2 linked regions of the Drosophila melanogaster genome follow. The protein of the gene in region 2 purifies or fractionates together with the protein of the main gene of each other region. This does not show direct contact. Each region holds a gene or a part of one and is shown on either strand. Other genes may lie near its edges.

The links.
Region 1: the proteins of Hmr (region 2) and HP6 purify together in Drosophila melanogaster (affinity purification with western blotting; one study listed by BioGRID). This does not show direct contact.

The regions. Positions count from the first base shown.
Region 1 is NT_033779.5:4,577,118-4,580,246, forward strand, and holds HP6 (heterochromatin protein 6), read right to left. Parts: upstream 1,102-3,129; 5' UTR 987-1,101; coding exon 666-986; 3' UTR 602-665; downstream 1-601.
Region 2 is NC_004354.4:10,590,172-10,597,851, forward strand, and holds Hmr (hybrid male rescue), read right to left. Parts: upstream 5,685-7,680; 5' UTR 5,422-5,684; coding exon 5,373-5,421; intron 5,307-5,372; coding exon 2,541-5,306; intron 2,483-2,540; coding exon 2,141-2,482; intron 2,082-2,140; coding exon 1,386-2,081; intron 1,329-1,385; coding exon 940-1,328; 3' UTR 749-939; downstream 1-748. Other genes in the region: CG2124 (uncharacterized protein), read left to right, coding at 6,079-7,680.

The sequences.
Region 1 (3,129 bases), on a different chromosome or scaffold from region 2:
TTTTGCCATAAATCTTGCATAAATCGATTTAATCTGCCCCTGGCCACGCCCACCTGCTGGTGGGCCCCTCAATTAATTATACTTTTTCAATGTCAAAATGTCGCTGCAAGAAAGGTGCGCCACCAATTTAACCCTTTTTTTTATGTACGTATTAGTTGACTGCGTGAATCTTGAGGCGCCTGCAACATGGAATCTGAGAGCTGAGTCTGATCCTGCGGCTTAACCTTCTTTTCTAATTGCAGGTTTTCCAACGCCCCGATGTGAAGGTCACTGACAGCATTAAGTGCACTGGAAAAAGTTTAATGAGGCAAGTGCACCATTTATGAACTGTTTTTTTTATGAACTTTCAAATACCCCTACAGACTTTTCGCTCGGTGTATACATACACGTATAATTTCGCGCCCGGCAGATAATGCCGCCGGCCTGTCTCCAACATCAAGCTGCGTCTAGGAGGCGGAGGGCGTGGCTGGGCCGAGCTAAACTCACTTATTCACCTGCCCGCATGCCAACAAAGTGCAGCATCAGCAACCAGTTCGCATGAAAATGCATAATCAATCACCAGCGACAACGGCGACCAGAAAATGAAGAAAAACTCGTGGCAGAAGAGTCAATACTCTTTATTGACATTGCACCGCAATGTCTTCGGTGCACAATAGTTTTATGGACTAGGCATTTCGTGATCGTTTCTTCCTGGGACTCGGAGTGGTCTCATACCCATTGTCCGACTCCAAGTCTTCTTCATCGCCCTCATCCGTGAACACAATACGCTCCTCGTAGAACGAGATGACCATTTGGGGGCACCGAACGTTGAGCACTTCGGCGGGCACCAGGCCGGCTTCGTCGCAACCCTTCCACTGCATCAAAAAGGTCAGCTTACCGGACCAGTTGCAGGCTCCTAAGATCCGCAACGGTTCGAGTCCAAGATCAAATCCATTTCGTTGCTTCACCGGAAGAGCAGTAGAGGACGTCAAAGTGGAGCTGGGCATCTTCCGTTTGGTTTTAGATATCGTGGGATTTATTTCAATGTAATCTATTTTTCTTTTTTCGACGCGCGTAGCCAATTGTCACGTTTTGTCAAGTGTTTACACACCGAGATATTATTTTTCAGTTTCGATAACTGTAGGTATCGACATGCTTTGGCAACCCTTTCGATGTGGCAGCCCTAAATGATTAATTTGAAAAGCGTTAGAGAAAATGGAAATAAAATTGTACACTCCCCTTGACTGGACATATTCTTTCAGATTTAGTTAGGGTATTGTGCATTCCAACGCCCATTGAGCGTATCATTGGTGCATCTTCATCTGACATTTCGCACGACTCGAATGTCAAGGCGCGATTGCCGGCGATACTACTTGCGATATTGGCCTCTTACGCGGCTCCACTTGTTAACTTGAATTCGTGTAAAGTGGCCGCTCATTAAAAACTCATAAATCAGGGCGGAAGGGAGGAGGGTTTTCGGTGGCACCGCCGCCAGTAATTGCCGTTGCTGGCCCAGTGTCAAAATAAAGGCAAAATAAAGGAACCCAACTCGTCGGCGGAAATGATCGGCCACCAGGTGATGGGGATGGTGGGAATGGGGCATATGGATACTACAGCTAGCTGCCAGTAATTTCCGCATATTGGAAGTCTCGTACTCTCAGATGGGCATGTGATTAATGATTAATCTGCTCGGTGCATCCGCCGCTATGACATTTAGCCAACGCCGCCTGAGAACCCGCTGCAGCAACAAAAAGAATCCGATTCGGAATCAGAAACAGAAACAGAAGTCGGTGGCGGGGTGGCCAGTTAAAGCCGAGGTCTCCGGTCGCCAGTTGGAGCCATTAAACGCCGCTGGAGCTGCTTGGGCGCACAATTTAAAGCAGCAACTAACGCAGTTAGACAACAAACCACTTTCAAGAGCTGGCTGGCAAACAGGGAAAACGGCTTTCAACTCGTTTCGCTGCCCGCTCAGATGCAGTTGCATACACTGAGGAAAGTGATGTATGAGTTCTTCAATTTAATCGATTTTTGTGTAAGAATATTTGGCTCGGTGTGTATGTATTCCAGAAAAATAATTAATTCCAAAAGTATTTAGAAACAACATAAACTTTTTCTACATTTTCCAAAAGCTTTTATATTTAAGAACATATATATTATTAGTTTTTCATAGGAAATAATTTTCCTTCTCAAAACATATTTTTTCAAGTGTACTGCCGTTAATGCTGCTGATGCCGTGGGTGCAGCCGTTGAATGTTGCATGCTGCTAGTACGTTCAACTTTTGCAGTTAACAGTTAGATTTTGAAATGGCCAGCAGCACTGGCATCGTCGTCGGCAATGGTATCGGTTCTCTGGGATTCCAGTTTTCTGGCCACAGCCTGAGAACCCGGCGATCAAGATGCGCGGCTCCACCACGACGGAAGGAAATTGCCGTCCAAGGCGAAGTCACAGCTCCGATCGCAGCATTGCGCACATCAAATAAATACTGGTACTTGGCAATTTTTGTGTTAAAACAAAATTAAAGCAATGCCAGCCGTGCTGCTCTGCGGTGTAACATTAACCCAAATACATAATTCCCATTCTCGCCTCATCGGCATCGGACAAGGATCGGCGCATTAATCATTGGACGGCAGGGGGACAGCTCTTGGGAAGCGGCAGCATATTTGGGTTTATGGGTGAGCCCCAGTATCCTAAGCAGGAAATCATTAGAGTGCGATCCAAGGAATCCGCAGGGGTTTGGCTCATGCATACATACTTATACGTATTTCTTGGGAATTTTTTTATAGATCTTGGCTCTGCCTGATGGTCGGTTTCTAAGCCATCAAGCGGAGATCATCGCGTGACTGGGCAACAAAAACCCATTATAAATTCCTCACATTTATGATGTGTCCTTCTGTCAGCGATGATAAAAGATCCTACCAATCTGTTCTAGTCTTGTGAAATAGTCGTGTTTTGGTGGAGATAAATATATATTGATCATGAGTGTAAATAAGCTTGCCAAGAGCTGTTGGAAACTATTTGTGCAACATATCCACTTCTAAGAAGGTAGGTTTTTCGCATGGGCATGTGAAAAATAAGAGCTTTAAACAAAATCTCCATCTTATCCCTTTATTTCGCAGATCTTCACCTCAATGGTACAATATATTGATATA
Region 2 (7,680 bases):
ACTGCCATTAGGTATAGCTAACCATCCCTATCACTATTTTTATGATTCCAAAAAAAAAATTTTGTAACAAATTTTCGCATTTTTGATAAGGGGTACCCATCATCAAAATTTGCGAAAAATGGCAAAAAATTAGAATTTCCAACTTTGAATCCAGGTCGATAGGGAATTTTTTACGAATTCAATGAGGTGTGACATTCCACATTTGGACAATTATTTTAATTGCTTTCGAAGAAATTGTGATTTTTTTTTAACAAAAAACTGCAAAAAGGAAAATCTGATATTTTCCTTATAACTTGGCGAAGAAGGTGGTAGAGCCAAAAAGTAACCGTTGTTTACTGTTCGTCATTTCGAAAGAAATGTGGGAGGATTACTAAAATCCTTTAAATAGTATATCGTCAAATAGTTTGGCCATTCCTTTGTCCTAGACAATCATCCCCTGTGTTTTACGTGCGCCTTATTATCTAGCCACTCCTCCAGGAACTTGGCAATCAAATCTTTTCCCAATTGCACGCCCAATTTATTCGGGCTTACTTTCATGTCCTCGGAGAGGCCATACAAGTGGGCGGGGCCGGCTGACCGACATATAATCATGGGGCCTTGCCCTCATCGCTATCATTCTGCGACTTTAAGCGTCTAACAACATTAGATACTGTTTATTATTGCGCAAGTTTCAGTTTGGTATTATACCTATGGTACTCAGGAACTCTTAAAATCTTAAATTTAACAGTCCCAGTGCAAAACATCATATGAAAGTTGACTGTGGCCATTTATTCAAGTTATTCTAGAGGGCTCTTAAAAAAAAAAAAAAAGTTATTGCAATTTCATGCACTTAATAATAAATAAGATGTATTCTGTGGCAATGAAGGGTGTCAATGGTACGGCGAAAGTTCTTACAGAGAATATGTATGACTAAACTACGTGTGCCAAAAGTTTCGAGAGCTAAGGCGGTGGCGGATTGACCTTGGCGTATTTAGAGAACAGCTGCGTCATCTTGCCGAGCAGTGTATCCTGACTGGCCGTGGACAAGTTACCGACGGCGTAGGCCCAATTCTTCACCACGAGATCCGGACTGCAAGTGGACAAATTGATCTCAGGCAGGAACTCCTGCGGGCTAACTTCCTGAGTGTTCTTCGCAAGCGATTCGTTTAACTGGTTGAGCTGCTGTGGCGTGCGGACTGTCAGCTGGGCGTTCGGCTTCACCTGCTTATAGATTTCCGACATGTGGTGCAAGTACTTGTGGCCCATTGTACATTGATTGCTTGGATCGGCGATCTTCAGATTGCGCATCTCGCGCAGAGCGTACTGCAGACCAAGGCGGCATTCGGTCACTGCAAAATATGTACTTTTAATCAAATGTCTAAATTGACATATTTGCAAATGATTACCTGTGGCATGCAACTCCTTTGATACGCGAACCCAGGCGGCTCGCTTGTCCAGAGTGCTCGCCCGCTCGAAGCTGTTTGGTTGGCTACGCAATTTCTTACACAACTCAAACGCCTCAATGGGGGATAGATTGTTACAGGTGACACTTCTCGCTGGGGTCGGCCGCTTTTGGGCGGTGGAGATATTCTTGTCTTTATGAGACTTGACGTTGGCGTTTGACGCTGGCTTGCTTTCGCTTGTCTTTTTGGACACGGAAACGCCATCAGGTACAGGAATAGGTTGGGCATCGGGTGCCAAAGCTAGAGCCGGAGCTGGAGCAATTTGAGTGAGAGTTTCAGTGCTTCTCACGCTATTCAACTTGCCGGTAAGCAAGCGCTTGGCCTCCTCCGTCTCCCATGGCTTGGGTTCTTTGGAAAAGCCCGTTAAAAGTTTGCTCGGTGTAAATTTGGTCTTATCGATATGATCGGAGGACGTTAGAGCCTCGTGCATTTTGCAGCGCTTCACCTCCTCTGACATCCTGTTGTGCACTATATAGTAGTAGGGCTCGAGCGGATGGTAGCGCACATTGACCAGAAACCTGAGTTGCTCCAGTGCCTGCCACCAATTCTGCGGCCAGGGATTATCGATGCCGCGCTCTAAATCATCCAGGTATGTGCGGAAGGCGAACTTAAACATTGACCAAATATCCCGATGATTGACTGCAAAAGAACAGAAAATTACTAATAAATGATTGGCTTATAACATTTATTAAACATACGATTTGGGAATTTAAGGCGGGCCTCCCGCCACACCTCCTGCTTCTCCTGATTCGTCAACTGGGGCGGAGCTTGAGCATCTTCGCCAGGTCGCGGCCTGCGTAAATCGCAGTAGAGGTACTCGTACTTCGCGAAGAAGCGTATTACTTCCGGCAACACGTTCTTGTGATTCAACCACTGGTATTTTAGCGCTATCTCGTCAAATTTGCCAAACAAGCGATTCGATTTTTCCCACACTTTTTCGCTGTACTTAAACGGACGCATCAGTTCCGACATCGGCGCAATTTTTGGAAACACACTCATGTTGGCCGCCAAGAATTTCCAGCATGCGCGCAAAGCTTCCTCTGCAGAACAAAAGAACGTATGAGCCAATGTTTCTAATATATATATAGTTACTCCTACCTGGCATGTGAAACTTCTTGGCGATAAAATGCCAGAACTCAACACACTTGGCCGCCAACTGTGGATCTTCCTTGTGCAGCTGCGGCACAGCCATCACCTCGCGGATCAACGTCGTCGTCCTAATCATATTGAGATTGAAGCGAGTACCCTGATTTCCGCACCAAACTTGCAGTTCATTCCCAGTGGTATCACTCTCGTGCAGACACACGGTTATGTTGCCAAGCGGCAAGTTCTCCGGCTGACTGCCTAGGGTTGCGGATGCGGCTGCAGTTGCTTTTATATCTGACTGCGATGCTGTTGTTGCCTTGGCTACTGTCGGCAATTTGGCTGGTCTGACCACTGGTGCTGATATTGCTGCTCCCACAGCTTTAGCCTGGCTTGCTAATGTGCCCTGTATTGTGGCATATGAGTCAGATGCAGCTTGTGTTGCAGATGTAGGAAATAATGGTGTTTTTCGTATGACTCGAGTTGTTTGTCCAGTGGCGATTGGTGGCGTAGTTACAGGCAGCTCAGTTGCTGGTTCTGTTGCAGGTTTGGCCATCCTGGTTGCTGCTGTAGGTAGTACTGCTACCGGTACGATTGGTTGATATTTTTTGGGGTTTACTAATGTTGTTGCTGGCAATTTGGGCTTTGGTGGTATTATTTTTGCTCTCGCTGGTTCCGCAGTTGCTACAATAGGAGCAGCTGCAGGCGAAGATGTGGTTAATAGTGATCTTATTGGCTTACTGAACGGAGCGCTATTGCTTTTGCCATCCCAAGCGCTTTTCAGTCCCGGCTGGTGTATTCGTACCATTGGAGCCGCAGTGGGTGTTGGCAGATTGCTTTTAGCTGTAATATTCGATGTTGTTATTGGTACAAAATTTGGCAGTGTTTGTTGCGGAGCTGGTGAACGTATTTGCGATGGATTTTGTGGCCTAAGCAGTTCACCCAGTGTCGACATTGGCCCTCCGGATACCCTGTCTTGAGTTTGAGCTGGATTGGTTGGATTCGTTGTTCGAATTACAGTGCGGGGGACTACAGGTGCCATTTGCGGTCTACTGGCCATTTGAGGCTTCGTATGGAGCTTAACCTGTAAGCCAGGACCCTGCGTTATCTGTGGACGCACTTCAGGCGGCTTTGCGTTTGGGCCCGCCATCTGATTGGTGGTGGCGATGGGGGACACGCCCGTTCCCATAGTCGCCGCCGGCTTGGGCAAAATTCGTACGTTGGGCACAAACTTTAGGGGTATCATATATCCCGAGCCCACACTGATGGCGGACGTGATTTTGGGAATCACAAACTTGGGAAGAGCTTGATCGGGCGATACACTCGAACTGACGCTGTTCGTTGCGGCGGCGGCGGTGGATGTGTTGTTAATGACTGGGCCAGAGGACCTCCTAACATTGGTGAAGGTGGGGCCAATGCTTGTGGCAGTGCTTGCACTGTTGGTCATGCTCGTGCTGCTGCCTTTTGAGGTGGACGGATAGACAATAGCCAATGGCATACGTACCGGCACCGGTGTTTTGGCCGGAGGCTCCCCCGCCACTGGTATGGCGCCGTTGGCTGTCCGCTTTAGTGCGGGACGGGCCGTGGAACGAGAGGTAACTGGCGTTAAGGCCAGACCCATGGAGCCCTCAAAGAACCACTTGTCCTGCAGCTGATAGCCGGATGAGCGCACGGCCTGCAATTCGTGGTAAAAGGCGCGCAGCACCAGCCAGGTGACCTCGCAGTGCTCGTGACTACACATCACTTCCATGCCGACCTTCTGCCAGAATTCGTCGTAGCGCGGCGGTTTCACCTTGTTGTGCAGGGAGTCCTCCGTCAGCTGAACTAGTTCTGGCATGTTGCGCATCGTGGTGATCAGCGCCATCACAGTGTGGAAATTCTCAATGGGCTCGTGCCAACCGTTTTGCAGGTACTTGGAAGACTTGCATACGGTGCCGCGCATGCGCTGTACGTGCGGTTCCATGAAGTCCATCAACCGACACAGCTCCGAAGTGCCGATATGACGTGGGCGATGGATTAACTCCCATTCGTAGCGAGTCTGCAGCTTTAGCCAGCACTTCATCAGCTTGGTGGCTTTGTCATGGACTTCGTTTGAAATGGCACTCCAGATTAGAAAGCGATGTCGTGTGTTCTGATAGCCCGTGCACGTGCTATCGTACAGAAGGGGATAGGCACTGACTGCCTCTATGAGGCGACGCTGTAACCTGTTGCAACGGTAGTTATAGGTGGGGTCCTCCTCGACATCCAAATCTATGATGTCCATTGGCGGATTCTCTATGACCTCCACATCGGGCCGGGTTTCGCTCTCATCCACATGCTCTTTTTCAAGAATCTCTGTCGGAATCTTGTCGACAATCAGTGGGAATCTGGCCACATGGGTATACATGAAGCGCATCTCTTCCTCGTATTCCATGCAAGGACGCCAACGCAGGGCCGCCCGATCTTTTTGGATGGCACTGCGATGAAAGTTTCTTAGACGACGAACATGGCGCTGATATTTATATCGCAGCGCCGACCAGGATCTCTTGCAGTTGGTCGCATTCGTTGCCAGGCGGCTGGCGATTTTTTTCCATTGTTTCTCCCTTTGAGCGACGTCGCGGAATTTCGGATGCCGGGCGTCATACAATAGCGGCTGGCGGCGTACCAAAGCGATGAGCAGCCTCTCTGCCCTATAGGTTTGCAGAATGCCGCCATCCCGAGATCCCGGATAAGTGCATCTGCTGAACGGATTTGGGGCCTTATCGTCATCCACGCCATTCGTCTTCTGACCAATTGTGTCAGCTTTGAGGAAAAAAAAAAACGGAAGTTAGTTGAACGGCTGACCAGGTGACCAACTGTCGGACTTACAAACAATTATCTGGCAATCATTTTCAATGGCAACAGGCTCCTCCTCCATGTCCTAGACACCTGATAGCTCCAATCTTGACCTACGCGCGCCTTTCCCCCACACAAGCCGTCGAGAATTCTCGGAACGGAGAAACCGGTGGGCAATCCGATGGAACCACTGCTTCACTCTTCACTCTTTTGTAGCATAAAATCACTCGGAAATAGTTTGGGAACAACTTGCAACTACAGGATTATTAAGTGCAAGCGTATCTACGTAAATATATCTACGTAAATAAGGTTTCTTGCGACGCCAGATAGTCGGCGGTTGCAAACGCAAAATGGTTAAAGAGCGTTATCGACCACGGATACCGTTATCGAAACATTCGATTAATATTTGAGTGTGAAATAGAATTGTATAGCTAAATATTTTTGTTTGTGTTAAGTTAAACAAAAATAAGTTGAAAAAACACGTTACAATTTGTAAAGCTACATTCTAGTAGCTACCCATTTGGATATCAGTGGAGTTATCGATAGCAGCCAAGCGCTGAGAGCAGAATATTTCGTTAAGTTCTCCCACTTGCGAGCACTCCAATTTCTTCGTTCTGGCAACGCTGCTTACCAGTCAGCTGTTTAGCCGGCAGGTTTTTCAACGAATGTTTTCATAACGCGTTTTCCATTCAAATTCAATTGAATTGAATTAATTTACAACCAAATATCGCTCTAAAACATGTGGGCAAGAACAAACTACCTCTGGCGAAGTGTGGGACGTCTGCGCCGCCAAGTATGCACGACGATCGTTTCACCAGCGCGAATATTTGCGGACCGAGAGAATCAGTTCGCCCATGGAATCCTGATGGATTCTCTCAAACCGTATGCAATACTGCGTCCTCGGGACTCCGCCTGGCAGGATTTGCCCGCATCTGAAGGCTTTATGCGGCCACAGCCAGATGCCAGTGCTGCCGATCTCTATGCGGACTTTTTAGGCCTGGTGAGGCACTGTAATCGCATGGAACTGAAGATCAGCGATAGCCGCTACGAAGCCTTTACCCGCTGCTTCTGTGAGCAGCTGCATCGCCTTACGGATGAACAACTTCTTGGATCGCTTAGTGCCTTGGCCGAGCTGCCCGTACCGGAATCGCCCAAAGCCAAGAACTACATGGAGATATGGAATACCCTGGACATCGAGTGCTGTCGCCGCATCGAGCGATGGTCCAGTGAACAATTGCTACTCGTGAGCGATGCCTGGTATCGTCTTGGTCTGGTCAGGATAGGCGAGTACGTGTGGCTGGCGCTGAAAAAGCTCGGCCGCAAGCTGCGAAAGCTGCCGCCAGAACAGCTCGTTCACTCCATGTTCCTGTGCAATCTACTGCGCCGACCCGTCTTCGAGATGTTCGATTTCGAGTTGAATCTGGCCCGCTGCGTGGATCAAATGACGCTGTCCGAATTGGGCGTAATGGCCATGGGCTTCTTTAAGACACAGACGCCTATCAGAAATCCGGAGCTGCTAACGCAACTCTATCAGCGATTAGGCAGCGAGCTGGACACCGTGGAAGACATTGTCCTGGTAGCGCTGCTCAAGGTGCTGCGGTACAGCAGCAAGCTGCCACAAGTGGAGCCGCTAAAGAAGATGTTAAGCGCTCTAGAGTCGCAAGTGGATCGCGTTTCCCTCCTCACGTGCCTGCACATGGCTCTTCTGGGCTGTGAACTGCAAACGTGCAATGATGCACTGGTGGAGCGCATACTGCTGAGATTCGAGCGTGAGTTAGAGACTGCCCGCCTCAAGGATATGGAGCGAATTTGTCTGGTAATGGCCCTTTTCAATATTACAACTAAGTCGGGAGTGGAACGCCGGTTGGCGGAGAGATTGCCCGATTTGCTGCGCCAGCGTATAGAGGAGATACTGCGCCATCCTCGTTGTTTCTCCAACTGCCTTCAGTTTCTCACAATGCGTGGTGTTTACGATCTTGAGCTTTTGGGCGTGGCACTGGAGCCGCGTTTCCTGAAGCATGCGTACCCAAGCGGATTGCCCGGGCGTGAGTACTTCCATTTGGATGGGTTCGCACGCCTCCTGGGGCCGGAATACCAGGGAGCACTGGTTACCGAGAAGCAACGACAGCAGATGGGCCGCAATTACACGCAGTACATCCCCGATCGGGACGGACGCTTCAAGCTGAATAATACCGATCGTATTCTAGTGGAAATACGGGATGCGATCACCATGATCCACCGTCCCGTGACCTTCAAGCACATCCTGCCGCAATACGATCGATGCGATGTAGTGTTGTGCTACGACCGCCGGCAACGGAAGGCGTTGTCCATAAATGGTGAG